Canis lupus familiaris: one gene and its partner. The protein of the gene in region 1 interacts with the protein of each later gene in a pairwise test. Links are inferred from orthologs where the notes say so. Each region holds a gene or a part of one and is shown in the gene's direction. Other genes may lie near its edges. The genes, in order: CDK5RAP3 and TSPYL4.

Region 1 (15,221 bases):
AGCCCGATGCAGGCAATCCCAGGACCCCAGGATCAGGCCCTGAGCCAAAGGCAGAAGCTCAACCACTGAGCCACCCAGGTGTCCCCATAACGGAGAAAAATTCAGATTTGTCCCAGTTCTTCAGCATTTGTGCACTCTTGGTGCATGAACTTGTCATTGGCTGTGAAAAGGACCAGGAAAACAACAACCATTCGTTGAGTCTTTGCTCTACCAGGTGCTGTTTTAGGCACTTGACATTGCAAAAATGAGCATATTTTACTTGGATTTATTGAGTCCTTGTCATATGCCAGGCACAGTACTCCATTCTCTCTTGTGTTCAATATCTTATCTCCATTTTATATGTGGGGAAACTTGACGCACAGAATGGTTGAGAGACTTAAAGTTGATAATTAGGGGCGCCTCGGTGGCTCAGTCAGTTAAGGGTCTTGATTTCGGCTCAGGTCATGGTCTCTGGGTTGTGGGATTAAGCCCCATGTTGGGCTCTGTGCTCAGTGGGGAGTCTGCCTAAGGTTCTCTCTCCTTCTACCCCCCCTCCCCATGCTCACATGCTCTCTCTTTCTCTCTCTCAAATAAATCAGTCTTAAAAAAAGGGGGTGGGGGTAATAATTAGAAACCAGGACCATCTGACCACAAAACCTAGCTCTTAGCTGTCTCCTACTGAGGAAACATGCATGGCTCTCATCCACCCACACCCTCTCCTAAAAACAGATCTGGGCCCAGAGTCCAGGAGGTCAGTCACGTTGGTGTTCTTGTGGTGCCAGGCAGTTCTTCACTGTTGAGAGTACCAGTGTTACCTAGTCCTTAGGGCGCTGCAGGTATTAGGGGCTTTACAGTTGTTCATTCATCCGGTACTTGGCATAATCATCTTGTATTTTCCATTGTCATGGTTAATCCCAGCCCTGAGGAAGTGGAAGTTGAAAGCATCCTCTGTCAGTAAGAAAGATATAATTACCCATGGAAGCAAAAATATTATGGAGAATTTAGAGTGGTCAAAAGTGGCACTTTGATGTCAGGACCAATTTAAAGTTTTTCTTTATCCCTGTGTGGAGGCAGTTGCTCTATAAAAGTCATACAATGGGGCGCCTGGGTGGCTCATATCTGTCTTCGGCTCGGGTCATGATCCTGGGGTCACGCTGTGGTGGGGTCTGTTTAACCCCAAGGGTGCCTTTGAGCCTCTCTCTTTTTTTTTAAATTTTATTTATTCATTCGTGAGACCAAGAAAGAGGCAGAGACACAGGTAGAGGGAGAAGTAGGCTCCCTGCCGGGAGCCTGATGCTGGACTCAATCCCAGGACCTCGGGATCACATCCTGAGCTGAAGGCAGACTCTCAACCACTGAGCCACCCAGGCGTTCCAGAGCCTCTCTTTATTCCCATGATGCTTGCACCTTAACCAATATACATATAACTTTTAGCCAGTGTCTTAGCATATTTCACCTGAATTAGTGGTGGGCTTCTGGCTGTGTCAGTGGGAATGCTGTGATGTGGGTGCTTCTCACACAGACTGGCTGGTGGACAGAAGGCACTGCAGTCTGAAATGGCAGAGTCTGGTGTTGACCATCCGAGAGAAGATCAATGCTGCCATCCAGGACATGCCAGAGAGCGAGGAGATCGCCCAGCTGCTCTCTGGATCCTGTGAGTGCTTCTGGGCTACATTACCAGAGCCCCTCTTTCCTGGAGCACTGGATATCAGCTGAGCCTGCCCCCTTGTTGTTTAACTGTAGGGCTGACCCCTAGAGAGAGATTTATTTTTGGGGTACAGATGCCAGTTTCTTCCAACACAGAATGCTGAGGGGGAGAGCTATACATGCTAAAGTTCTCAGCATATTCATCAGTTAGCCATGTGCCCAGAGTAGGTGGGGAAGATACTATAATTCCCAAAGTCTTTGTTTTTCCTTGCTTTTTAGACATTCACTACTTCCACTGCCTAAGGATTGTGGACCTTCTCAAAGGCACTGAAGCCTCCACAAAAAATATTTTTGGCCGGTACTCTTCACAGCGAATGAAGGCAAGTGTGGGCAAAGCTGCAGGGTCAGAGTCTCTGGTCTCGCTAAGGGTCCAGTGGAGATGCCTATGTAGACTGTTTCCTGAGCTTTCTCTTTGCCCCCAAAGTTTATTCCAAAGTAGATCCTATGCCTGGGTTTACATTTTCAGTCCTACTGCTTTGGGGAGCGCTTGTTGATGCCACATTCTTAAAAGGAAGTGTGTGGGGGTGTCCAGCCAGTGTTATGAAGAGGTCTGTGTCTGATGTGATATGAGGGCTAGGGGAGTGTCCCCCCTGGGGCTTGAGCTGGTATGTGGCTGCTGAGCGCCATTCCAGCTCACTTCCTATTTCTATCCTCACCCAGGACTGGCAGGAGATTGTAGCCCTGTATGAGAAGGACAACACCTACCTAGGTAAAGTGGCCTAGCCTGGGAAGCCTGGTGTCCATGGGGCGGCCCACTCCCAAGAGTTCTGAGACTCTAGGCTTCTAGGAGGCACAGTCCTTTTGGGGGAAGAAGCTGGGGTATAGATGTTTACCAGGTGGGCAAAGAAGTTCCCCAAAGAGTATTGGGAGGAGGAGGAAGACCAGGCAGGTAGTAGGTATTGGCCAGGCCGGGCCTGGCAGGTATGTGTAGGTCCTCATTACTGACCTCTTGGTGACTGACCCACCTCCTCTGCACCCCTAGTCTCCACTGGGAAGAAGAGGGGCCACATTGGGTGCCTGAGAGCATAATTACAGGGCTTATGGTACTTTGGGGTATATTTCCTCAAAGTCTTAATAATAATAGCTCATACTTACCAAGCACCTACTAAATGCAAGGAGTTATACTCATGTTTTATGTGGATTCTCTCTCTTAATCCTCATGGTAAATATGATTGTCCCTATGTTACAGAACAGGATTGGATTAGCGAGTTTGAATGACTGTGTGAGGTTCCACGGCTGGGAGGGGGGAGCTGGGAGGCCAAGCCACGCTCTCTGCTGCCACGGGGTGTATTTGCACATGTCCCAGGGGCATGTTTGCCTCGGGGTGTGGGCATCTGGGGTAAATTTCCTGGGCCCCTTTCAGTGGAACTCTCCAGCCTCCTGGTTCGGAATGTCAACTATGAGATCCCCTCACTGAAGAAGCAGATCGCCAAGTGCCAGCAGCTGCAGCAAGAATATAGTCGCAAGGAGGAGGAGGGCCAGGCGGGGGCTGCCGAGATGCGGGAGCAGTTCTACCACTCGTGCAAGCAGTATGGCATCACGGTGAGCTGGAGGGCACCTGGCGCCTCTGTTGGCCTGAACCCAGCCCCTTCGCTTTTGGGAGAGGCTCCCTTCTCGGCCAGTTGTGCCCTTCTGAGCCAGTGTCTCACCCATCTGCAATCTTTGGGTGTTCTTTTGAGCTCGCTGCACTGTGCTTCCCACTGCTCCTGTCTTAGCCCTCTTCTCCCATCCTCTCTAGGGAGACAACGTCCGAAGAGAACTGCTGGCCCTGGTGAAAGACCTGCCGAGTCAGCTGGCTGAGATTGGGGCAGGGGCTCAGGCCCTGGGTGAAGCCATCGATCTGTACCAGGCCTGTGTGGGGTTTGTGTGTGAAAGGTAAAGGACCTTAGTTTCTCTCCAGCGCGGGGGGGGGGGGGGACAATTGACCTATTTTCCTCGGCTGTTCTGTCTCCTCTACTTGTGCTTTTCCCACCTCACGTTTGAGTTTTGGTTTAAACACGTGAGCCTGTGGGAGCTCCCCCATCTGGCCTGGGGGCGCAGGCCGGAGCCCCGCGTGGGCTTCACATGTGCGCAGCAGGAGCGTCAGGCGGTGCTCTGTTTCAGTCCTACAGAGCAGGTGCTGCCAATGCTGCGGTTCGTGCAGAGGCGGGGGAACTCCACAGTGTACGAATGGAGAATGGGGACAGAGCCCTCTGTGGTGGAGCGGCCCCACCTCGAGGAGCTGCCTGAGCAGGTGGAAGAAGATGTGGTAAGACAAACCTGGCGAGAGCCATGTCCTCATGCCCCACAGCTCCACCTCTACGTGAGTGCAGAGTCCCAGAAGGAAGAAAGTAGGATTTGGGTGCGAGAGACCCTAGCTGGAAGGCCCTCCCTTATTTTTCCAGGCTTCTTGAGGCCAGAGCAGAGATGAGTGTTGTAGAGGCTCAGCAAGCTGGTTGACCTTGAACTAGGAATCCTGTCCTGTGAACTCTCTGAAGATGTGCTGTCCTTCAGGGAGCCCCCAAGCCATTGCCCTTCAACAGTGTGCTGGCGCCCCCTAGAGGGGCAGCTGAGACCTCTGGGGAGGCACACCCCTTTCTTTTCACCCACTTTCTCTAAGCTAACACTTTTTTCCCCTGCTAGATTGACTGGGGCGACTTTGGAGTAGAAGTGGCTGCCGAAGGGACCGATTCTGGCATCTCTGCTCAGGCTGCTGGAATTGACTGGGGCATCTCCCTGGAATCAGACTCAAAGGTTAGGAAGCCCTCTTAGCCCATCTCTCTGAGGACTTGCTGTGTGATCTCTGCTTTGGTGTCGAGAGAAGTGTTGTCTGTCTTTAAAGATGTTACCTGAAGTGGGCAGCCCTGGTGGCTTAGCGGTTTAGTGCCGCCTTCAGCCCAGGGTGTGATCCTGGAGACCCGGGATCAAGAAGTCCCACGTGGGTTCCGTGAAGGAAGCCTGCTTCTCCCTCTGCCCCCGCCCCCCCCTCCCCCGCCTCTCAAGTTAAAAAAAAAATCTTAAAAAACAAAAAGATGTTGCCCATAGACCTCAGGCGAGGTATAGTCCAAGGGGGGAGCATTTGACCCCTTTTCTCCTGGTATGTGAGGGTCTTGGCAGGTGGTAACTCTAAGCAGGGATGAGGGTAGCAACATATGTGGCTGCAAGTCCTTCATACAGTTGAAATGTGCAGGCATATTGAGCTTATCGAGGGTTTGGTTTATTCTGGCTCCCTTTGCTGGGGAAGATTCTTGCAACCCTGCTGAGGTTCTTTGCTTTCCACCCAGGAAGCTGGAGGTGATGGGATTGACTGGGGAGACGACGCCGCTTTGCAGATCACAGTGCTGGAAGCCGGAACCCAGGGTAAGTGCCCTCCTCCCTGTAGCTTTGGCAGGAGTGGATGCTCAAAGGTCCCTGTGTCTCTGGAAACAAAAAAATGCACTGCCAAGATTGGGCTGCTCACACATCTAACTGTTTTCTCAAAATCATGATGATGATGTAAGAGTAGAGTAACGGAAGTTCTAAAAAAAGTCTTTTAAAGATTTTATTTATTTATTCATGAGAGACAGAGAGAGAGAGAAAGAGACAGTAGTCAGAAGGAGAAGCAGGCTCCCCCATGGGGAGCCTGATGCGGGACTCGATCCCAGGACATTGGGATCACAGTCTGAGCCAAAGGCCAACACCCAGCCACTGAGCCACAAGGTACCCCAAGTTCTCAAAATCAAGTCTAGAAGCTCTTAACTTTTGGAAAGCGAATGTGGGTCACCTTTCTGATGAGAGGTTCCAGAAGGGCGGTGGGCTTGGAGGTCTGACCTTGACCCTCCTGCCCAATAGCTGAGAGGATGTAGTGGCCATCTGAGCCACTAGAGGGCGGTGCAGGATGAAACTTCGTGGCCGACAATGCTGAGGGGCCCTTTCCAGGCCCTAAAGCCAGCTCTGTGATCCTCCTCCCAGACTGGCAGTTGGAAGTAGTGTCTGATTCGAGTTAAGACAATGGGAAAAAGTAACCCTTCCCCCCACCCTGGGGTGAGACATCAAGTAGCTTCTGCAATGAGTTTTTGTCCATATTAGCCCACCAGAACTTCTCAAAGTTGAGGGTCTTTTTCTCTGGTCTCCAGTGACTTTATCATTTGTCTCTCTTCCTGGCAGCTCCAGAAGGTGTTGCTAGGGGCCCAGACGCCCTGACACTTCTCGAATACCCCGAGACCCGGAATCAGTTCATCGATGAGCTCATGGAGGTACCTTCATCCTCTGTGGATGGACCCTTCCCGCTTGTGTTCATCTCCATCTGTTCCCCTCCCAGTGACCTGCTGGCTGGTGAGGGCCTCATCTGCGTTCATAGTCCTCACCTGTTCCCTTTTCTTTTTGCTAAGAGAGGCTCCTCTTAGACTCCAGGGCAAAGGAGGACAAAAGGATGGAGTTTCTCTGGTTAGAATAAGAGTGATAAGATATGTGGCTGGTTCCCAGATTCTTCCCAGCCCTCTCTTAGTCCAGGCTTCTCAAATATGGATTCCTGTTCCCTGAATCTCATTCCTCTCACAGAGAGAAAATACCTTCACTGGGACAGAGAGAACCCATCAAATCTCTGTGTTTATAGTTATCTGAGCCACATGTTGGGAAGAAGGAGAGGTGTCCAGGGCTGGGGGTGGTGGGGAGTGAGATAGCAGGAGGGGCGGGAGATTAGCGGTGGAGGCTGCTTCAGGCTCTCACGTCATAGTTGGTAAGTTTCTAGCAATTAAAGTGTTCAGAAGAAATAATCCCTCCTCACCAGGAGTCTAGCCCTCACATCTCATTCTTGCATTCTGAGCAGTCTGAGGGCTTAGCCTCTGAATTCTCTTCTTGGTGTCAACCAGATCCTCTTCTGCCCTCAGCTCGAGATCTTCTTGTCCCAGAGAGCCGTGGAGATGAGTGAGGAGGCAGACATTTTGTCTGTGAGCCAGTTCCAACTAGCTCCAGCCATCCTGCAGGGCCAGACTAAGGAGAAGATGGTTACCATGGTGTCGACACTACAGGACCTGATTGGCCGGCTCACCAGTCTTCGAATGCAACACCTGTTTATGATCCTGGCCTCCCCAAGGTCTGGCTTTCCTGTTGACACTGGGCTCTTCCGGAGCGTGATGTGGGGTGCCGCCATCTTGAGCAGTCCTGACTCTTTGCGTTCCCCTTCTCCATGACTCCTCAGAGCTCTTCTCTGCCTCCCATGGCAGCTCTGTCACAGCTGGGATCCAGGGTTCTCTTGGGGCAGGATGGGGTGGTTTGACATATGCAGGCAGGCTCTGCTTCCCAAGTAGGACAGGAGAAGTGGGAGCCATAAACCTTGCAGGGAGGGAATGAAGCGGGTGGAGGCCAAGTTGCTGGGCAGGGATTTGGTTGCCTTTGCCTTTCCCAGCAGATGAATGGGGATACTCAGGCTACTCAGCTGCCTCAGACGCTTAACCCGAGTGCCCCGCACAGGTATGTGGATCGAGTGACGGGGTTTCTCCAGCAAAAGCTGAAGCAGTCCCAGCTGCTGGCTTTGAAGAAAGAGCTGATGGTGCAGAAGCAGCAGGAAGCGCTTCAGGAGCAGGCAGCCCTGGAGCCCAAGCTAGATCTACTGCTAGAGAAGACCAAGGAGCTTCAGAAGCTGGTAAGACAGGAAAGGCAAACCTGCCCAGGGGGAAGACCCCCAGATTATACAGAACGAGGCACCTTTGCCTCTCTGCTTCTACCCACTTGGTATCACTGTCTTTCAGATCGAAGCTGACATTTCCAAGAGGTACGGTGGGCGCCCCGTGAACCTGATGGGAACTTCTCTGTGACAGCCTCCACAGGTCCACCTGCCCGTCTTCCCAGCCTTCTGGCAGGAGGGGAAGACAGCCTGGGCTGAAGTGGCAGGGCTCTTCCTAGCCAGAGACCAGGGGATTGGAGGATGGAAAGCCACGTGAAGGAGCCATCTCCTCGATGGTGACCTTTGACACTTGCTATACTCTCTGGCAAGAAGCTATCTTGATTGGCCCTGTGACCCTCAGTCTGAGACCACAGTTTCTGGGGCTTCTCATCATCTAGTTGGACTTAATAAAAAAGGAAGAGGCTCTTGCTTCACTACTGACAGTTTGTGCTTCTCTGGCCCTTGAATCAAAGCTTTGCACCTGTTTGCCTGGGCTTTTGATCCAGTGGGCTCCCAAGGCCACCGGCTGTTCCTACAGAGCCCCAAGGGGGGGAGGGGCTTCCCCCCCTTTGCTTGTGACAGGCAGGGCCCCAGATTAGTATCTACAAGTGGTTCCACAGGGGGCTCTTGGGGATCTCCATTGGCTGGGCCCCTTTTTCTGTCCGTGGCCAGGCTAGACTGCCCTGCTCAGGCCAGAAGCCCAAGGGTAGTAGTCAAGTGGCAGCCTTGTTGGAGCCAAGCAAAGCTGTATTTTCCTTTTAATCACAGTTTACCTCCAGGCAGAGGGAAGATGTGGTTTGGGAGGAAGGGTCTGATAAACAAGGTGGAGACAGGAGTTGTCACCTTTGCTAGCTAGCTGCCTGTTCACTTCCTCCCCATAACTGCCAGCACCGTGATTGGGTAGAGGCCACCCCAGGATAGCACCCCTCTCCCCAGCCACCTACCCATCCCCATTTCCCAGGAAGGGTAGGGGTTGGGGGTGGCCGGCAATTCGATTTTAATTTCATAGCAGAGCAGTTGATTCATGGCTCTTTGTCGCTGGCGTTGACTCCCGTAATGACTTTCCATCAAAATGAAAAGTGGAGTGACACCACTCATTATTCCTGCTGCTTGTTATCTCAGTTCTGGGGAGGGCCGCCCCCTCCCTGCTGCCTTTCAGCCGTCCTGGACAGTGAGTGATGGCCCCTATTAATCACCGACCCCGCGGACTCCGGCGGACACACGCTATCCAAAGGAGAGAGAGATAAGGCAGCATGAACTGCTCAGAGCCGCTCCTATCAATTAATGTCAGCCCATCGCTTCCCCCCAATCTTTGCCTGTTCACCTCCTTTTGGAGGTATCGGGGGCTGAAATTACTCTAGGAATTGGAAAAGGAAAAACAACCCGTGCGGAATGTTGAGAATGTCCTTAGAATCGAAGGATGTAACAGGGACCGGGTGGGCTGTACCCTGCCCTCCGTCGTTGTGGACATGTACGGCCTAGGGAGCTGAGTCTCTTAGGCCCTTTCCCTCTAAGAGGGTGGCTGCTACCTCCTGCCCCACCTGTTCGGCTGCTGGCTCCACCGGCCTTCTGGCCTGCCTCTTGCGGCAGCCATCCGCTCACCAAGGCATTGCTACCCTCGCCTGGTCAGTGTCCCTCGTCCAATCACCAGCTGCTACATGGATGGATGCTGTCGCTTCCAGGCACCTAGCTGCAGGGAGAAGCCCTGTGAACCATGTGACCACGGTGGACCAGTTTCAGGCCTTAAAATTTCCTGCTCCTGCCCTGTCGGAGGAGCACCTTGCCTGCCTGCCTGCTCTGCTCTGCCTGGGGTTGATGGCAGGGAGTCATACAGGCTGAGGTGTGGCCATCTTCACAGGAGGGGAAGTGGGTTTAGATAAGGTTCTCTCAGCAGATTTGGGGCACCTTGTTAAGTGGTGTGGTTAGGGGACTGTTCTCTCTCACAGGGATCAGACCTCGTCCACTGCTTAGCTGGTAAAATGAAGGCCTACTCTACACTGATGTCAATTGGGTTTGTTTTGTTTTGTTTTTTAAAGATTATATTTATTCATCTGAAAAAGAGAATGCATGAGCAGGGTGGGGTCGGGGGAGAAGCAAACAGGGAGCCCCGACACGGGGCTCGATCCCAGGACCCCAAGATCATGACATGAGCTGAAGGTACGTGCCCAACCGACTGAGCCACCCAGGCACCCCAATGTCAATTGTCTCTTAAAAGTCTCTAAGCCTATAACATTAGTCTTGTCCAGAACCTTTAGCTCCTAGCCTTTTGGCCTGGGCTTCACTTCCTGGAACCCACTTTCCCGGCCACACTGAGACATTGGAGATCCCACCCGGCTCCTTTACCCCATGGGAGAACAGCACTGTGTCTTGCAGATCTGCTCCCAGATTCCCCTTAGCATTGCTCTGATTGCAGTTGGGTCCCCACTTGCTTTTCTCTGAATTGCCTGACAATTCATTGTGAGGATTAAACGAGTTAACACACACAGAGTTCTCAGAATGCTGTCTGGCACAGAGAAAGCACTCCTGGACAAATGTGAGCTCTTAGTTTTGGTTTGTGAAACAGTGGTTAGGGACTCTTCATCCCGGTCTAACTTGCCTTCCAGGAAGGGAATGGTGGGAGGTTCTTTGTGGAGCTTGAAGACCAAGTTCTGAGCAGTCAGATTTCTGGGGCTTCGAGAAAATGTTCTGGGAGAGGAGGAGGAGGCGGGCCAAGATTTATCCTTAGTTTGGTGTGAATCGTATTGCCAAGTGCACATCCTACTTTCACGTTCACTTTTTTTTTTTTAAGATTTTATTTATTTATTCATGAAAGACACAGACACACACACACACACACACACAGAGGCAGAGACACAGGCAGAGGGAGAAGCAGACTCCAGGCAGGGAGCCTGACATGGGACCCAATCCCGGGTCCCTAGGATCACACCCTGGGCCGAAGGTGGTGCTAAACCGCTGAGCCACCTGCCCTCATGTTCACTTTTATGCCACCTTTTTCCAGGGAAGATTTCAGTCTCTCACCACTCAGCTCACTTGTCACCTTCCTTCAGACAATGGGGCAGAGTCAGTTTTCCTAGATCCTCTCTCCCTGCTAAATCCAGCTGCCCAAGCCCCATTACCGTCTCTCTGCTCACGTGAAGCCTTTCTTCCCACGTCTTCTCCAAGTGCTGCTCTAGTCAGAGTCCACAGAAGTAGGATTCCTTTGCACCGCAGCTTGTGATGGCGGCCACGACCAGGAGCTAAGCGGAGTGCTGACAGCTGTTCATCTGGCTTCTGGCTGCCCACTAAGGGCTTGCCGAGGAGATCGGGTCCTACCCATCTAGAACTAGCTCCCCATGGCCAGTGTGGGCAGGGATTCTCTCTGTCGTGCAGAAGGGAAATCTCACTGAGAGAATGGCCTAGAGCCAAGGACCAAAGCAAAGCACCCCCACCATGGCAGGGAGGGGGGGCTGCAGTCCTGCTTGTTCCCTCACATGTACCTCCCTGCTCCCCTTTCTGTCTCTCTCCTTAATTCCCAGATGTTGCTTCAGTCTCCCCCCTAGAAACACAGGTCCTGTGGCTCTTCCCTGACTCCTCATCTGCATCTGCTTGTCTTGTCACTAATTTTTATTTCATTTAATTGCCACCCATTCTCTCCACATTCCTGTACATGCACATACGAAACCTGATAATTGTAGTAGGTTAGGAAGGAAACAGGCAAAGCATCATGATGATTAGCACATTCTCTAGATCTGGACCGCCTGGGTCAAATCCTGGCTCTCTTCTTGCCACCATGTGATCTTGGGCAAGTCCCTGGACCTCTCCGGGCCTTCTTTCCTTCCCGTATAAAATGATACTACTGGCCTCAGAGTAGGGAGCCATGGCAAGAGTGTACAGTGCCTAGATGGCCACTGGCCCAGTAAGACTCCATAGTCCGCTGTTGTGAGAGGGGATGGACCCGAAAGAACCTGGACTTAAAGTCAGAAACTTGTGTTTGGGTATCGGCTCTGTGTGTCCCAGGTATCCCTAAATATCCTGAACCAAACCCATTGCTTTCTCCATTCCACTCTTCATCCCTATCTGATATTTCCTATAGGTCAAGCAGCAGGCTCCCGGCCCCAGCTTTCTCACCCTCATCATTCCCCTGCTTAGACACTCTGACGCCCCCTTAGCTCCCTAAGCTCCTAGAGTAGCAGGCCAGCCTTGGTAATTGGATCTCTATCTCCTTTCCAGCCTCAGCATCCACCCACGACACCAAACCCACGTGTCCTCAAGCCCCAACCAACTTCCTGGCCCCCTCCTAGCCTTCCTGCCCCACCTCAGACAAGGCCCAAATACATCTCTGTGGACATTTCCAGGCCCCGACAGGATGAGCCCCTCTTCCTCAGCAGCATCCCGAAGCCATGTGGAGATGCCCTTCACCTGTCTGTCACGGCGTCACAGTGCAATCCTGGCACCTGTGCTCCACCCTGAGCTGCCTGAGGATAGGAACCGGCTCTCACTCACTTTTGTGTGCCCTTTGGAATCTCAAAATTAACTTCTCCAAACTTCAGTTGTCTTAATGATCTCTAAAGTGACTTTGACCTCTAAAATATTACTGTCGTGGGGCCCATGAGTTAGCAAAATTGAAGAATCCCGCAAACACGGGAAGTTGGGAAGGAAATTGGGTTTAACTAGGCTTTTACGATGGACCGGTGGTCAACCTGAAATCCTTTCTACATGCTTTCCAGTGGGAGCACCTGCCCTGTACGTGTCCCGGGCTCCCTCCGTCCTCTCTCCCTGTTTAGTGGAGGACTCTCCTGGAGAGCAGAGGAGTAGGGCTGTTGTCCCATCCTTTGGGAGACACCGTTGCTTCTGCTCTGAAGCTGAGGTCAGTCCCCACGATGGAGTGCCGCTCCGATGCTGGGCTCCGAGCAGACTGCTCTGCGTGCTGTGGGATCAGGCCCCAGGTTGCCGTCCCGCCTGGAGGATCCCGCAGCCCATCGGGGGGGTCAGGGCTGCTCTGGGGCCACGGAGGCCGGGTGCCAGCTGACCGCAGACCCACGCCTGTCCTCCAGGTGCCCTTCCTCTGCGCTGATGAGCCCGGCCTCCCTGGGTAAATTGGCCCTGAGTAAACTCTTACTTATCCTGCCTGCCACCCTCCCCTCATTCCCCAGGCTTCAAAGAAAACCGGTTTGAATATTTAAACTTCTCCTGTGTGTCTAATAAAAAGTTCTGCACTATTTAACGGCCCAGCTATCCATTACTGTCGGGAGCTGCCCTCTCCTCCCAGCCTGCCCCTCCCTCCCTCTCGCCCAAACCACGTGCAGCAAAGCCATTTGTCACAGCGCTCCCACCGCGGGCTGCGCTTGGCTGTGTCTGAAAGGACAAGCCGCCCCACAGGGGAAGGTGGGAATGAATAAAGGGGCTATGCAAATTGCTGCTTAATCTGCAGAGAAACACCCAGGCTTTGGGGAGACGCTCATTACTTCTTTTAACTGTGATTAACGGGCAAATTAAACCCAAGCCCTTAACTCTCTCCTGGCAGAGGACTCGAACGCAGAGCCGGGGACTGGCAAGGCTGGAGGGAGGCTCTGCTCTGTAGCTGCAGCCCTCGGGACTGGGACAGTGGAGCAGGAATGCTGCCCCTTAACATTCGGCACAGTGGGCATTTGTCGGTGGGGCCGGAAGGACGAAGCCCTGATGAGGGGGAGCAGATGATATGTGAGGAAGGAGGACTTTGTGGTCCCTCTGGAGTTTTTTTTCAGCCACTCCAGAAAGAACAGGTGGTGACACTGAGATTTGCTGTCCTTTCCCCGCCACCACCAAAAAAAAAGGGGGGGGGGGCGAGAGAATCCCTTAGGCCTCACCTGTCAGGATATACTGTTAGGACCAAAGAGGCTTTAGCCACAAACCTAGTCCCAGAAAAGCATGTAAAAGGAACCTCCAGATGTTCAACTCCAAAACTGACCTTGAGGCTGATTAGCCCTAGAGAACGGGGGAAGAGGTAAAGAAGCAGGAGGTGGGGGCAGAGCATTTTCATGGGAATAGAAACTTGGGAATAGTCGGACAACAGGTTATACAGGTTATAGGCATACACTGTGGGACACCCACATTAGAAGGCATCAGAGATCGACAGTATCTGTTTTTTTTTTTTTAAGATATTATTTATTTATTCATGAGAGACACACAGAGAGGCAGACACACAGGCAGAGGGAGAAGCAGGCTCCCTGGCAGGGAGCTTGATGCAGGACTTGACCCCAGGATCCTGGAATCACACCCTGAACCAAAGGCAGACACTCAACCACTGAACCACCTAGGTGCCCCCAAAGTATCTGTTTCTTACTCTGTGTGTGGTTAAGATAATGTGGGGATCCCTGGGTGGCTCAGGGGTTTAGCTCCTGCCTGTGGCCCAGGGAGTGATCCTGGAGTCCCGGGATCGAGTCCCACATCGGGCTCTCTGCGTTGGGCCTGCTTCTCCCTCTGCCTGTGTCTCTGCCTCTCTCTCTCTCTCTCTCTCTCTGTCTGTCATGAATAAATACATTATTAAAAAAAAAAAAAAGATAATGTGACCCAGCTCATAACACACAGTTGACCACTTTAACCCTTTCTGAGCATACAATTCATCGGCACTAAATACTTCCACATTGTTGTGCAATCATCCCTACCACCTACCCCATCTGTTTTTACAGGTGATTGAGTCTTTCTGTAAGACCTATAATCACCTCTAACAACCAGCAACAAGTGAAGCGGAACTCTGAAGATAGGGAAGTAGTGCTCAAAATTGAAAAATATTGGAGAACCCCAGCTGGAACTCTGGGGCAGTTGAAGCAGAGGCCTTGATGCTCCAGAGGCAGGGTGGGTTGGAAATCCTGTAGGGACTCCCCGTTAAATGCAGGTCCCCTAAGCCCAAGTGATTAGAAGGTGAAAGATGACATACAATGGTGACAGACTGTCTGTCAACTTGACGGGGCCGAGGAGAGACGCGGCCCCGTATTTTATTTTGTCGGAGAGTGGATCAGCGGGTCTGTCATAGAAACCAGGCCTGACAGCTCGCTCAGCGACTCGGCTCCTTTTCCTTACCTCCTGCAGCCCAGCTCCACCATCTATTAAAACATCCCGGGCTGTCAGGGATATTAAAAGGCTCTGTCACTCCTTCTTAAAACAGTCATAAATACAATCTGGACATGAGCATTTGGGCAGGAGCCCTGGTGCTGAATGGGAAGAGACAACAGCAGGTATGCCTGCCTTCCCTGACAGCTGAGGCTTTGGCACCGTTCAAACAGGGAGCCTTGGACTAATCTCCCTTTTCTCTCCCACACAAGAAGCAAGGCCCTCTTCAACACTCGCCAGGGCCCCAGCATTTTGAAACAACTGCTCTTGAGCGTAGGATGTGGCCTTCATTAGCATGACCGCAAGCCTCCGCTTATCTCTGGGGCCTGGTGTGCTTAAACCGCACCTGTTCGAAGTGCCTGCCCAAGCAGCCTGCCCCCTGGGCCTCCCCAGGCGGGGTGGTGGTGGGAGGAACAACAGGGTAGCAAGGGAGCCCTAAATTCTACCTCCTTCCTCCGTGGTAGAGTTTGCCTCCCACCCGTCTCTTACCTTTCCTGTCCTATGAAACCTTGGGGCTGACCCACCTTGGTAAGAAGAGCTATGCTGGGAGGCCAGAAGCAGCCTTGAGGCCTTCCTGGTGGCCTTCCCAGAATGTAGGCTGGAACTTGTAACCTTGCTAATTGGAGGAGCCCAGTCAGCCCTGAACCCTTGAGTCTCCCCAGACTATGGGGGCTAGCCCCAAAACGAGGCGGCCTCTTCCTCTCTATATATTTGATAAGAACATATGACTGGACCCTTCCCCTCAAGAGGATCCTGTTTGATGGTGGGGGTTTTTCTAGCTTGCGGCAGAGCCATACACACCAGGACCAGGCACATTCCCTTGGCAAATTCTGACTCTGGCCTC
Region 2 (14,829 bases), on another chromosome or scaffold:
AAAAAAAAAAAAACAGAATTAGCCAAAGTAGTTCAAATGTTTTATATCCTTCTGGAATTCGGCTGCTGAACAGCACAGAACTCAGGGTATCACTGTGAAATGTAGAGAATGTGTTATGGAGGCTTGAGTCAACTGGGTGATAACTTAGAACAGCACTTGAAACTTCATTGTCATCCTCTTCACCAGGCTAAGCTCTAACTTCCCTTAGCATAATAAAGGGCTGTGTTGAGATGGTTCAGTACGTGGTGATCTAGGTCTGTGGTAGAGACGACTCCGTATAGTAGTCACAAACATTTACAAACCTGACTCTCAAGGTGTATGTGGGCTTCTCCCAATGGTGTTTGGGAAGTCTGCCAGTTATTTTGTTTTTTTTACAATGAATACAGGTATTACTGGTATTCATTAGGGACATTAGGGAAGCTAGATATCCTGCAATGTGATGGACAGTGTCCCATACAGAGTAATCATCCAGTGCTAAATATATAGATGACAAAATCTAGTATTTAAGCCTAGAACCTAATACCATTTTACATATAAAAATATTTTGCACTGTTATTTATTGTTTTTTAAGTAAGCTCCACCCCCGACTTGGGGATGACTCAAGAGTCACATGCTCCTGGCTGCTATATGTAAGTGATAAATCACTAAATTCTATTCCTAAAACCAATATTACACTCTGTGTTAACTAACTGGAATTTAAATAAAAACTTGCAACAGGGCAGCCTGGGGGGCTCAGCAGTTTAGCGCCACCTTCAGTCCAGGGCTGATCCTGGAGTCCTAGGATCGACCCATGTCGGGCTCTCTGCATGGAGCCTGCTTCTCCCTCTGCCTGTGTCTCTCTTTCTCTCTCTCTCTGATGAATAAATAAAATCTTAAAAAAACAAAACAAAACAAAACTTGAAACAAAAAAGAGTCATATGCTCTACCAAATGAGCAAGCCAGGCCCTCCTTTCTTCCTGCAGTGTTTTAAACACTATTTTTTGAAAGCAACTTATTTCATCTACTGTAAAACATTGTAAGATACACCATTATCTAGCACTAAGAATGAAAACAAATGCTAATGAAATTCTGACACAAAACTTTCTAACATTTACAATTTTTGTGTTACCAACAATCAACAGAGTAAAAAGGAACCTACAGAATGGGAGAAAACATTTGCAAATCATATATCTGAAAAGGTTAATCTCCAAAATATGTAAGGAACTAGTGATTCTAAGGTACAGCCATCTAACTACTATATCATGTCATTTTTATTTTTAAAGATTTTATTTATTTATTCATGAGATACACAGAGAGAGGCAGAGACACAGGCAGAGGAAGAAACAGCCTCTTTGCAGGGAGCCTGACGTGGGACTCGATCCTGGGACCCCAAGGTCATGCCCTGGGCTGAAGGCAGGTGCTAAACCGCTGAGTCACCCAGGGGCCCCCCTCATCATGTCATTTAATGCAGGCAGGACTTCTTTTTATTGCACTAAGTCTTTCCCCACTTCCAGCTATTCTGTCTCCTGACTCCCAATTTGCGAGATAAAAAAAAAAAATTGAAACTAAGGGGTTTAAATGATCTGTTAAACAAACATGTTATTCTGGATCCTCCGAAAAGCAGAAGTCAAGCTGGGATTAAATATACAAAGGTCTTATTAGGGGAAAATGACTGTGTGAGTGAGATGGGGAGGGAGCCAGAAAAAAAAGACGGGAGAGCCATCTGTCCAGAAAGCAAATCTGATTGAGTGAAAAGGGGAGCAAGAGAAAGTTGGGTGGAAGCGTCCTAGACTCCTGTGCCATCCAAGGAAGATTCAGCAAGGCCACCAGGGAGTCCTTGAGGCAACCAGAGTCAGCTGTTGGCTGAGTCCCACATCCTCTAGGAATGGTCTTGCCTTCGTACCCTAGCCATACTCAGCCATTGGCTGGAGGGCTCATAGGAGGTATGGCCGGAATGCAAAGGAGACTAGAGATTTCAGGGTGCAGCATTCAGACCCTTGAACAATTACTCTCCTTGTATTAGGAAGGCTGGAAGGTGCATTTTCATGGCTACCACATGAAACTTCACACTACATTGGTGCCAAAGCCAGATCCATCCTTGACTCATACCTGTAAGAAATTCAATTAGCCCAGCATCCTCTTTGAATGTGAAGGAAGTTGTTCTTCAGCCATTGTTTTCTCAAAAAGCAGGACGGCTTTCTACTGGAAATGCCAATTTTGCGTGGCCCTGGACACACAGGCTCTGTCTGCTAAAGATGCCTTTGTCCTGTCTGAGGAAGAGAAAAGTTTCCATGGAATGCTTCTGTTGCTGCTCAACTTAATTCTGGGCTTTGGAGCCCTGGAGTGGTGACTCATTTAGTCATAGGGACAGAACTCCTTCCATATGTTAAGGGTAATTTAGGGGAAATTGTTTGAAAATTCAGTATCTTTTGGCTGTAATGGTACATGAAATACATTTTAAAGAAGAAAAAAAGGAAAGATGGAAACGGGGGTGAGGAAGGAGGAAAGCAACTTACGGAGTAAGGGTCACCTACATTACAATATTGACCCGTTACTCTGAGAAGAGGGTAGGTAAAGACAGGTTGGGTGAGCTTACTATTTTTAAAAAGTAAGGCTCTGTGCTCAACATGGGGCTCAAACTCACAACCCAGAGATCAAAAGTCACATGCTCCATTGACTGAGCCAGCCGGGTGCCCCTTAGGATTCCTATTTTATAAAATGTGGAAATGGAGATAAAAAAAGTTAAACCACTTGCCCAAATTCCCACTGCTCATGAAGGCAGAAATGAACTCCAGCCCATGTCTTTTGCCCTCCTCCAGTAAGACTGGGTCTACACAATACCAATAAAGAAAAAACAAATGAACAAAGGGAATGTTCTCTCTGATGGATTGAGAACTGTTGACTTTAAGCCTTGAATCCAGGATCATGAATTCCTGCTTCTTTTAGTGTTCAGGCACTTCCCCAACGACTGTTAGTATCTTTCTGGATGGGCAGAGGGGAACAGGACAGTAAGACATAACATTAAATTGGGATGGTCATACAGTCTTACTTCTAAGAAAGCACCTTTACATTTTACATGTTGGGTGGAATTGCAGAAAAATATAATAAATGAGTGTACAGGTTCCTGAGTCAGATTACGGCTCTATCACTTTTGTGTGACTGTGGATAAGCAACTCGGTTCCTCTTTGCTGCAGTTCCTTCTAAGGTAACGTAGGATGAAGTCATAATATTATTACCTCACAGGGTTATTCTGAGGATTAAATGAGATAACACATTTAGAAAACACTAAGTAAATGTAGGCCCTAATGAATATATAACCAGAAACCCTATCATTCTGAAAAAACATGCCGGGCTCCAGCTCCAGCTGGGGTGGGTCTCTCGAAGGAAAGGCCGGCGTCGGCAAATGAGGGGACGCACAGAGTCAGGGTGCAGACACGTCCTGATCATTTCGGAGGGGCTTTATTTATACCATTTTACATTGCCTTGCTTTTCCAGTTTCTTTTTTAGTAAATAATTACATTTTACATTTTATCGCAAACATCTTAGATCATTCTAAAGATTAAGAAACATCTTTTTCATACGAAATATTTTTCCTTTCAGTTTCGACTGCTATAATGAACATGACCTTTATTGATTTCTTGAGAAAGCAGTGAGTGTGATGTAAAAGACAAAAGTGCTAGACAGAGCGTGGCCTATTCTAGTGGAAAAACAAGTCTATGGTAATATGGTTACATGAAAGGGGTTATTATTTTAAAGGTTATATACAGAAATGTTTAACTTTCTTCTAGCAGTTTACAGTACCCACAACTTATTTTATCATGTGTTCCACTGGTTAACTGTTGTCTCTTTAACTTGACGCTTAAGAGGTACCTGAAGGACTTCTTCCATGACAGCTTTAACTGGGCTAGGTTCCCAGATTTATTTTACCCTTAACTGATAAAAAAACTCAGCATTTCTCATATTAGAGGAATTACAGAGTGGGGGGTGGGGGGCATTGGGTTTTATTCCAAGAAGCATGTTGGAAATTTTAATTATTTTTAGACTCCATATTTATTTTATGGAAATTCCCCAATAGTATTATAATGATGCTAAAGATGGCCAAAAACAAAGTGAAAGGAATCCATGGGAGCCAGCTGTGGCTTCTCCTGATTTTCAGGATTAACTCCCATGCCTGGACTTTGTCAAACAGCATGAGTAGCCTGGCTCCCACCAAAAGCAACCTTGTTGTTCAAGAGTAACAACAGTGGGTATTTCCTAAATTTTCCAGTACTTACTATACACTTTAGTAAAATCGTTCCTATTTGACTATACTAATTTATGTTTGAACTTTTGTTAAACTCCTTGTCCTGTGGCAAATGAAAATTACCTCCTGGATTTTCTTTTTTTAAAGATTTTATTTATTTATTCATGAGAGACACACAGAGAGGCAGAGACATAGGCAGAGGGAGAAGCAGGCTCCACACAGGAAGCCCGACGTGGGACTCGATCCCGGGTCTCCAGGATCTGGCCCTGGGCTGAAAGCAGCACTAAACTGCTGAGCCACCTGGGCTGCCCCCCTCCTGGATTTTCATGGCATTTCTTGCGAGTATTTTTCCATATGGTCATGTTACTGACATACCTTTTGCTCTGTAGTGAGGCCGATGTCAACTGCCAACAGAACAGGCTTTGTCATGTACTCCAAATCCTATATTCTAATATGCAAACAAAATGATTCATACCTATAATACATAATCCACTCAACTCAAAATGAAATACTAGCATAGTCATACTATTCATTTTGGTTAAATCTTTTACATTTTTCATTTAACTCAAGTAATCAAATTCATTACAATCTCCAATGAGATAGTCACTGGCCTACTATAGTAGATGCCAAGGATGCAGCCATCCTTGCCTACTTGGCATGAGGAGACTAATCTGCATAAAACAACCAAGAAAGTTAAAGATAGAAGGTAAATTCTAATTTGCACGGTAAAGGTCATAGGAGCTATAGAAATTGAGGACTGTTAGAACGGTAAGGTGATAAGGGAAGGTCATGCATAGGAGATGGGAGGAGGCAGTCTGGCAATTAATATATGTCTCCATCATGAGGGAGTCAACCCTGTGATCCTGGGTCCTTGTTTAGGATTATTAAATGCATTAAAATGCTAATGCAATCTACATGAGGTAAGCTTGAATGGAGTTTCAAGGATGGGCAGGTTATTATTGGTGGAAAATGATCCCCTTGACAGGAACAATCAAAGCTAGGGATGGGGATGCTTCAAGCAGTGGAGATAAAAGTCCTTTGTATATGCAACAAAAGAAAAAAGGTTCAGAGGTAGCAGTAGTTTTAAGTAACTTTCTAATTTTCTGTTGCAAATAGCAAATGCTACCTTTCTTGTATGGATTCTTTAAGAAAGGAAACAAGGCAGAGCAGTGTCAAAGTATAACCCAAAGTCACAAATACACTAAATTATAGCACAATGTTTACTTATTTACAAAGAGGATAAATTAGTAAATGGATTTCACCCCACAGAGGCAAAACAGGATTTATTAAAACGGGGGAAAAAAGGAGAGAAAAATAATTGTAGTCTGAGAAGAGTGCATCTTGTTTGTACATTTTTTTTTTAATTTTTTAAAAAAATCTTATTTATTCATGAGAGAGACAGAGAGAGGCAGAGACACAGGCAGAGGGAGAAGCAGGCTCCATGCAGGGAGCCTGATGTGGGACTCGATCCCAGAACTCCAGGACCACGCCCCGAGCCAAAGGCAGGTGCTCAACCAGGGGGCCACCCAGGCATCCCTGTTTGTACAGTTTTTATGGGTTATCTGATTAGCTGGTAGCAGTCACTCTGGACAGTCTGTCCTTGAGTAGGCAGACTAGGGGCACAAAAATATCTTGAATGTTTCTGAACTGTCTGGTAAACCTTTGTGAGCTACCCCATGAAGCTGCGGGACAGGCTGCTCCTCTGTGCCACCTGCCACTATCTCTCCCAGCACCTCATTCTTAGTTGCACAGGGTCTGCACTACCTCCCTCAATACACCTGCTACTTTTCCGTAACTCTGTTTCCCCTACACCCTGACTTTTCACTGGATCCTCTCCCGAGTCCTAATTTAAAAGCGATCATGGGGATCCCTGGGTGACGCAGCGGTTTGGCGCCTGCCTTTGGCTCAGGGCGCGATCCTGGAGACCCGGGATCGAATCCCACGTCGGGCTCCCGGTGCATGGAGCCTGCTTCTCCCTCTGCCTCATTCTCTCTCTCTCTGTGACTATCACAAAAAAAAAAAAAAAAAAAAAAAAGAAGCGATCATGATCTGGGGTGCTCTGTAGCGTAGTAGTTTCTATCACAAAGAGTCACAAACATTTTTCTAATATGAATTTAAGATGCGGAACAAAAATATGCAAAATTCAAGTTTTCCTTCATTCTTGCGTTTGTCTAAGGATCAACACCAGTATTTCCACACTGCAGCAAACAGCACGTGGTACGGAATTAACACCACTGCTAGATGAATCGTATGAACTGACTGGAAAAGGCACATTTCGGGTAGCTATTTTAACACTGACGTTTTAGACGCCACTTAAAATATTTTTAGTTGGACGATTACGAGTTGCAGTGCCTGCGAACAAACAGCTGCTGTTGCTCCCGCCCGCCGGGGACTACCACAGGGGCTATTGTGGCAACTACTCCTGGGCTTCGAGCTCGCGCGGACTCCGAAGCAGGAGCTCCTCCCGGCTCAGGGCTGGGCCACATCCACGGCACGTGCCATTTTGGAAATTACACTCTCCTGAGATCACGTCTTTTTCCGTGATGCTTCAAGGCCGGGTCTGCGCGCTCGCGCGAGTGGGTCGACGCCAGTGAGGAACGTACCTTGACCGCGTGTATTACTTCAGAGCGCAGCGGGCCTGGCGTCCGGTCGCCCCCGGGGTCGGCCGACGGGCGCAGCCTTCGTGGTGTCCGGTCGGGAAGGCCGAGGCTTCCGTCTCCACCGCGCCGAGGTGCGTAAGTCACCACTTTTTTTTTTTTTAAGATTCTAATTAATTACTCAGGAGAGAGAGAGAGAGAGAGAGAGAGAGACCCGGGCGAGGGAGAGGCAGGCTCCCGGGTCCCGCCCTCCGCCGCGGGGCCGCCGCTCTGCTCACCTCCAGCCTCGGGGGCCCCTCGGCGTCCTCGCCTGAGGGAGGGGAGCGCGGGGCCGCGGCGGCGGGGACACTCACCCAGCGCCCCGGAAGCGCCGCCGCAGCGGCCCGCGAACCCACGCCCGCGCGCGCAGACCCCGGAAACCCGGAATCCCCAGGCCCCGCGAACTCTCGCGCGACGTGAGGACGCGCGCCTCCGGCCGCCGTGACGTCAGCGGTTGCCATAGCAGCATCCTCCGGGAGTGCGCGAGCGGCGGGGACCGGGACGCCGTCCTGCTGCGGGTCCCTGCCCCGAGATGAGCGCGCCGGCCGAGGGCAGGCACCTCCCTGCCGCCCGAGACTGCGGCGCGGCGGCGGCGGAGGCCGACCCCGCCCCGGGCCCCCCGGACGCGACCCCGGGCCGGGCCGAGGGGATGGCGGACGCGGGTGAGGGCGGCGTGCAGACGGCCGCGGGGGGCGCCCCGGCCCGGAGCCCGGCTGGAGGCGCCCCGGCGCTCCGCGTTCGAGTGTTCGGGAGTCGCGGCCGCGGGGCGGGCAGAGCGGGCCCCCGAGAGCGCCTGCTGCCCGCGGAAGGCTCGGCCGCCGCCGGTGCCCAGGAGCACGGCTGTCCGCGGAGAGAGCCGCGGGGCCCTGCTGCGGAGAAAGCCCTAGAAGCCTGCGGCGCGGGGGCGTCGGGGGCGCAGGGGGCGCAGGGGGCGCCGGGGGCGAAGGCCAAGGAGCTGCCGGCCAAGTGCGCCGCGGAGGGGGAGGGAGCAGCCGCGGGGGCGGCGGAGGACGGGCAGGCGATGCCCAAGGAGAAGGGGGCGGCGGGGACCCAGGAGGAGGCGCGGGCCAAGGCCCCGAAGGTCGGCAGCTGCATGGACTCGCTGGAGGCCATCGACCAGGAGCTGTCGAACGTCAACGCCCAGGCCGACCGGGCCTTCCTGCAGCTGGAGCGCAAGTTCGGCCGCATGCGCAGGCTCCACATGCAGCGCAGGAGCTTCATCATCCAGAACATCCCGGGCTTCTGGGTCACGGCCTTCCGCAACCACCCGCAGCTGGCGCCCATGATCAGTGGCCAGGATGAGGACATGATGAGGTACATGATCAATCTGGAGGTGGAGGAGCTCAAGCACCCCAGGGCCGGCTGCAAGTTCAAGTTCATCTTCCAGGGCAACCCCTACTTCCGCAACGAGGGGCTCGTCAAAGAGTACGAGCGCAGGTCCTCGGGCCGGGTCGTGTCCCTGGCCACGCCGATCCGCTGGCACCGGGGCCAGGACCCCCAGGCTCACATCCACAGGAACCGGGAAGGAAGCACCATCCCCAGTTTCTTCAACTGGTTCTCGGACCACAGCCTCCTAGAATTCGACAGGATCGCGGAGATCATCAAGGCCGAGCTGTGGCCCAACCCCCTGCAGTACTACCTGATGGGCGAGGGGCCGCGCCGGGGCATCCGGGACCCCGCGAGGCAGCCGGCCGAGAGCCCCAGGTCCTTCCGGTTCCAGTCCGGCTAGCGGCGCCCCGGCCGCCCGCGCCCCGCCCCCGCGCCCCCGCGCCCCCGCGCCCCGGCCCTGCGCCTGGCCCGCAGCACGCCCTCTGTCCGCCCGTCTCGGCGCGGCCCCGCGGCGGCCCCGCTTCTCCTCACCCCTCAGTCGCTTGTAAGGTTGACCCTTGGATGCCCGCGTCCTGGTCCACGTCCCGCGTGCACGCGCCGCCTCGGCGCGGCCCCGGCCCCGGCCCCGGCCCTCAGTGCAGCTGCTCACCGGCCGCCGCGCGGCTGAGGCGGCTGAGGCGGGAATGAGGCCGGCCGGCGAGCGCCCGGTGCAGCCGCGTGGCTCCTCTGCGGGGGCCCGGGAACCCCCCCCCGCCCCGGGGCTGCGGGCAGGTGGGCAGCGCTCTGTGCTCGCGCCTGGAGCGTGGCCCTCCGGAGCCGCCGCGGCCCCGGGACCTGGGCAGCCCCCCCCGGGGGCTCGGAGGACCCGGCTGCGCTCCGGGGGGCCGCCCCGTACCTGCACCCCCCTCCTGCCCCTCCCTCCCGCCCCTCCCCCTCTCCCTCTTTCTAGAACAGCTCGAGCTCCGAAGTGGAGAGCCTCGGGGGCCCGGGCGGGCTTTGTGCTTCACCTGCTCCCGGCCCCGCCCCCCAGCTCCGAGAGCCTCCGACGGAGACCTGTGGGCGACTCGGGGCGTCGGGGCCGCGGCGACCCCCCGCCCTGCCCGCCCTGGAGTCCCCGGGAAGCAGGGAAGGGCGGCGGCGGCGCGGGACGGATTTAAGGAGAGCCGGAGCCGGTGGCCACCGAGGCGGCCGGAGCGGAGTTTCACTCTCCTTCTTTAGACCTGGAAACTGGGGGGACGGGGAGCCCCAAGAAACAACCCGGGGCAGCGCTGCGGGGCACCCTCCCCTGCTTCCTCACGCCCCCGCTTCCGTCCCTAGAAACCCGGCCGCGTTGCCGAGACGCCAGGCTTCCCCGCCGGGGTCGGGGTGTGTGCAGCTGAGTGTTCCGGCGGCTGCGCGTGCGGCCCCGACTGCCCGCCGCCCCCTCCCCTCCTCTCCCCCCTCTCCCCTCCCCCCTCCCCCCGGAAGGCTTTGCCCGAAGCTCCCGGAGCGCTAGGGAGGCCTGGGCACCGCGGGGGGGAGGGGGAGGGGGGAGGGGGTGTTTGCTGTCGCCGAGGCCCGACTGCTGCGAAGTGGTCTTGGAAGGGCCCCGGGAAGCTGGAGCCCCGGGGGGGGGGGGGGGGAGCTTTTCCGGGAGCCCAGGGGGTCTCAGAGTGCTTGATGTTTAAACAGGATGCTTGGAGGACTTTTCCCGAATTCCCTTGAATTCACCAGTAGATTTTTGTACACGAAGATGCAAGTCTGGATGTTTTCTCTCTATTACTATAGGAGTGATTTTCTCTGTGGAAAATTAGTGGTATATGCTCCTTGTTTCTCTGTGTTTGAGTAAAATCCTGCTCATTCCTTTCTCTACTTTTGCTTGCTGGCAAAATCGACACTTACAGGCCTGCTTTTTGCTCGTAATTGAGAACGTGTGCAAAAATACCGAACTTGTTTCCTGCGCAGTATGAAACCCGTGAACACTCATTAATATATCAGCTTGTCCTGGTCTGTCTTCACCCGTAGTTCTATTCTTAGAAATATAATTTGAATGTGATCTTTGAAATCTTGCAAGTTGTTGCTGTGTCTTGTGCAAGTAATCTCTAAAAAACCCCCATAACTCCTATTGTCGTGATATTCCTTGCCCTAATAGTAACGTGGTACTTGACATTAATGTCCCTGACCAGTGTAAGTACTTGTAGAACTGCTCTGTCAAACTAAACAAGGATCGTTAAGTACTTTAGTATTCTGTGTGCTCAAAGGAAAAATAAAGTCTGTCAGTCTGCTGTATTTCTTGTTTTCAACAAAAAATAAAAATAAAGTTCTGTGTTGTCTAGTCTAATAAAAGATTGGGAAATCATTAAAGTTATCAAATTATCACAGTAAACATTTGTCCTGAAGTTTCCAAAAAAAAAAAAAAAAAAACAGCCACCAAATTTCTAAGGTGCTTTTTTGCTTAGAAAATGGTAAATAAGAGGCCTAACTACATGCTCATGAACATAATTTTTCTATTCAACCAGTATAGTTTTTGAAGGTAATTAAAGCACCATTTCTTGTTTTTGGTCACTTAAAATATTTACAGCGGAAAACATTTTTGGCTTTTTATGTTTTAATTCCAGGTAATTAACCTACACTGTTACATTAGTTTCAGGTCTACAATACAGTGATTCAACAATTTCATACGCCACCTGGTGCTCATTTTAGCAAGTGCGCTCCTAAATCCCCATCACCCATTTAAGGTATCCCCCAGCATCCCCCACCACCTCCGGTCTGAGTCATCAGTTTGTTCTCTATAATTGACTGTTTCTTGATTGGTCTCTTCCCCCCCCCCCACCTTTGTTTCTTAAATTCCACATATGAATGAAGTCAGAATGGTATTTGGCTTTGACTGACTTAGTGGAAAACTATTCTTAATGCACCATCCTTGTTTACTACATTTGTGTTAACCGTGATCTTACTCTTTCCTCAGAAGATAGATTTTTGGAAGGAGTTAATCATTGTATATTCTACAAGTGCTTCTTAATTTCTTTTCCTACAAGGTGCAGTGCTTTAAAAAGAAAGAATAACAAATTGTGACTGACATAGTATCTAGAAACCTGATCCCACACATCCCAATCTCAATGACTAAGTCCTGTTAGGCAGGACTGCTGCTGTTAGTCCAGCAGCTGTCACATGAAGGGTTAGGAGTTGGGAGGGCCCTGGCTATTGCAAGATCTGTGAAAATGAATGGTATTTGTAGCCATCTAAACAAAAATTTTACATAAATGGCCCCAAATTATTACTAAACAGACCTGCTGACTCTTGGTGCAGTCCATTCTTGCAAGTTTTACTTGCTTAAGTATAATTTTTCTAGGCCTGGATAACTTTTTTTTTTTAAGATTTTATTTATTTATTAGAGACACAGAGAGAGAGAGGGACAGAGGGGGAAGCAGGCTCCACGCAGGAAGCCCGACATGGGAATCGATCCGGGGTCTCCAGGATCAGGCCCTGGGCCAAAGGCGGAGCTAAACTGCTGACAGGCCAGGGCTGCCCTAGACCTGGAAAATTTTAAATTTTAGAGAACTATGTTTTCATTGCAACCTCTATACCTATCTTGATTGTAAATTATACTTGTAGTGTTCATTTTACCTTTTCGATTCAGTGATTTTTTTTTCCTGCATTGTCTCTCTTATCCTTTTCTGGACATGGTCAGAAAAATGTCATTTTTATTGTCGTTGGTTTATTATCAGCTTTAACCAATAGTATTCATTTTCCTAGTAGGTTGGTGCTACTCTTTTGTTAGATTACGATGGTTTCTGTTCTGTTGAATAAAATTATACTAAATTAGACATTCTGTAGGTTTCACTTACCAGTTGGTATACTCCTATGTCCCTGCCCCATTTCTTTTCATTGCCTTTTTTCTTCTCAATTCTAGACCCAAATTATTCCTTACGAAGACCTCCAAATCGGTTATGAGGTTCTCGCATCCTCTGATCACCAAACAAGTATCATTTGGTCTGCACAGGCCTATTGCCCTGTTCGTAGGGTCATACTTCATAATTTCCCTAGTCCCCACATAACAGAATCTCCTTGGGCATTCTTCCATTTCTGGGTATTAGACCAGACGATGACAAAAGTCTTGTCTAACCTTCCTTGCTCAAGGTCCCTTCTCCCCGTTACTCCTCTTGCAGCTCCTGCTTCTTTTTCTCCAGTTGACTCAAGTTTCTGTAATGTGTGTATCATAAAAACCAAAATTATCTGTATTCTTATTAAATTCCTTGTTCTACGGGATCCCTGGGTGGCTCAGCGGTTTAGCGCCTGCCTTCGGCCCACAGCGTAGGCCTGGAGTCCTGAGATCAAGTCCCATATCGGGCTCCCTGCATGGAGCCTGCTTCTCCCTCTGGCTCTCTCTCTGTATCTCGCATGAATAAATAAATAAAATCTTAAAAAAAAAATTCCTTGCTCTATAGAGTCACAATTTGAGCCTTGGATATCTGTTCGCATCAGAGATACCGTCTCTGGTTTGACAGTCCTAAGAAATCTGAGGGGTCAGGCACGTCCGTTTATGTTCTCGTGTTACTTTCACTATTCTCACACAAGTTTTACTATCTCCGTTTAGATACTTAAGGAAACAGGCTCAGAGGGCAGCCCGGGTGGCTCAGCTGTTTAGCGCCTGCCTTCCCGGGATCTAGTCCCACGTCAGGCTCCGTCCATAGAGGCTGCTTCTCCCTCTGCCTGTGTCTCTGCCTCTGTCTCATGAATAAATAAAATCTTTTTTTTTTTCTTTTAAAGAAAACAGGCTCCGAAAGTTGAAGTAGATGTGCCTAAGATACAAGTCACAGAGACATGTATTTTTTAATTTCAAGCCTAGATTATCTTCCACTACCATCATAAACATTTGTACTAAATTTGGCATAAAACAAAAACTATGTGAATAATCAGGACTCAGCTGAAGGCTGTTTTTCATTCATTCATGATTGGTCTTTGAAAGGGGCACTTTTATCACTTAGTTCAGGGTTCCATACAGTCTACAGATTAAAAGCTACTGAGATTTACATATGCGATCTTGATTGCTGCAAACATGAATGAAAATAGAAGTTTGTCGTCTTCATCAAAGGGAGTAAATGCACCAAAAGGACTTTAAATCTTAACTTGCGATATTTAGTTGCTAGGAACTGTAAAGACATGTTGACATTTGTTTTTTTTTTTTGATTTTTATTTATTTATGATAGTCACAGAGAGAGAGGCGCAGAGACACAGGCAGAGGGAGAAGCAGGCTCCATGCACCGGGAGCCCGATGTGGGATTCGATCCCGGGTCTCCAGGATCACGCCCTGGGCCAAAGGCAGGCGCCAAACCTCTGCGCCACCCAGGGATCCCAATGTTGACATTTGTATTAGAGAATTTGAGTATTTTTAAATTGATTCAACATAGTGATTGCTTTTAATAGGCACTTAGTAATTTATTTCTTTATTTTAATCATTTACTTAAAGATTAAAATTTTTTTTTTAAGTACAATCTCCCCCGCTCAGTGTGAGGCTAAACTCACAACCACGATCAAGAGTCTCGTGCTCTACCGACTGCGCCAGCCAGGTGCCCCAATCTCTTTGTTAAGCTTTAGTCTTTACCAATACAGTGCCAAGGCCGAAGCACTAATAAAGTAAAATAAAGTCTTTTTTTTTTAAGACTCTGAGAACAGGTGCATGGTATGAGAACCTGTTAGGCAATCTATGTGATGCTGTAGTTGTCATTCTAAGTAATGACCTAACTTCTCTCAATAGACTCAGATATCCCACCTCCCATTAAGTTTGGAGCAGTTTTCATTATTCATTTTCCATTTTGGTTTCCTCAGCACCAAAGAGGGAGATTTGCTCAATATTCAAGGTGAACATTGGAACCTGAATATGAAGGAAGAGTAGACCTGCTTACCGAGGGCTTTAGTATGTGCGGCTTCCAAGAAGAGTAGAGCTCAAAAAAAAAAAAAAAAAAAAAAAAAGAAGAGTAGAGCTCATTATACGTTTTACTCCCATGGTTCTTGATTGTTTTACTCTAACAGGTAAGTTCTATGGTATAGAACTTTGCTTTAATATTTTTTACCGAATTGTGTTACTTTAGGACAGAGCCTGTTTATTTCTAATCCCTCACATGGTGTGACTGTTAAATTGAAACGTGGGTTCAGACTGAGAATTTGCCCCAATCTACTTCCAATGTTGGAAGACTTAGGTGTCAGTCAACTAAGGGCATGAGTTTTGGGGTGAAACTTGGGCTCATGTACAGACTCTGTTCCTTAGTAACAGTACAATTTTTAGCAAGTATGTTATTTAACCTCCGTCAATTTCAGTGTCCTTATCTGTAAGATTCTATTTTATTTTTTAAAGATTTTATTTATTTTTTCATGAGAGCCAGAGAGAGGCAGAGACACAGGCAGAGGGAGAAGCAGGCTCCGTGCAGGGATCCCGATGCAGGACCCGATCCTGGGACCCCGGGGTCACGCCCTGAGCCGAAGACAGACACTCAACCACTGAGCCACCCAGCATCCCTATCTGTAAAATTTTAATAATTATACACACCTCATAGGGATATTGTAGGGAATAAGGAACATGAAGTAGCCTAGTAAAGAGCACTTACCACCATTATTTCTGAGGATGATTCTAGAGACCAACAACAGACAGCTTTTTAGATTTAC

The links.
Region 2: the proteins of CDK5RAP3 (region 1) and TSPYL4 interact in binary tests that used the Homo sapiens proteins (3 or more experiments, as listed by UniProt). The two-hybrid records come from large-scale screens. The link is inferred for Canis lupus familiaris from reciprocal best matches to the Homo sapiens genes CDK5RAP3 and TSPYL4.

Annotation. Positions count from the first base shown.
Region 1 is NC_049230.1:24,229,457-24,244,677, forward strand, and holds the end of CDK5RAP3 (CDK5 regulatory subunit-associated protein 3), read left to right. Parts: intron 1-1,501; coding exon 1,502-1,633; intron 1,634-1,905; coding exon 1,906-2,006; intron 2,007-2,346; coding exon 2,347-2,395; intron 2,396-3,049; coding exon 3,050-3,228; intron 3,229-3,424; coding exon 3,425-3,561; intron 3,562-3,789; coding exon 3,790-3,934; intron 3,935-4,308; coding exon 4,309-4,419; intron 4,420-4,949; coding exon 4,950-5,025; intron 5,026-5,811; coding exon 5,812-5,900; intron 5,901-6,533; coding exon 6,534-6,739; intron 6,740-7,116; coding exon 7,117-7,288; intron 7,289-7,394; coding exon 7,395-7,460; 3' UTR 7,461-7,752; downstream 7,753-15,221. UniProt on the Homo sapiens protein: Substrate adapter of E3 ligase complexes mediating ufmylation, the covalent attachment of the ubiquitin-like modifier UFM1 to substrate proteins, and which is involved in various processes, such as ribosome recycling and reticulophagy (also called ER-phagy).
Region 2 is NC_049233.1:72,375,359-72,390,187, reverse strand, and holds TSPYL4 (testis-specific Y-encoded-like protein 4), read left to right. Parts: upstream 1-7,390; coding exon 7,391-8,587; 3' UTR 8,588-8,613; downstream 8,614-14,829.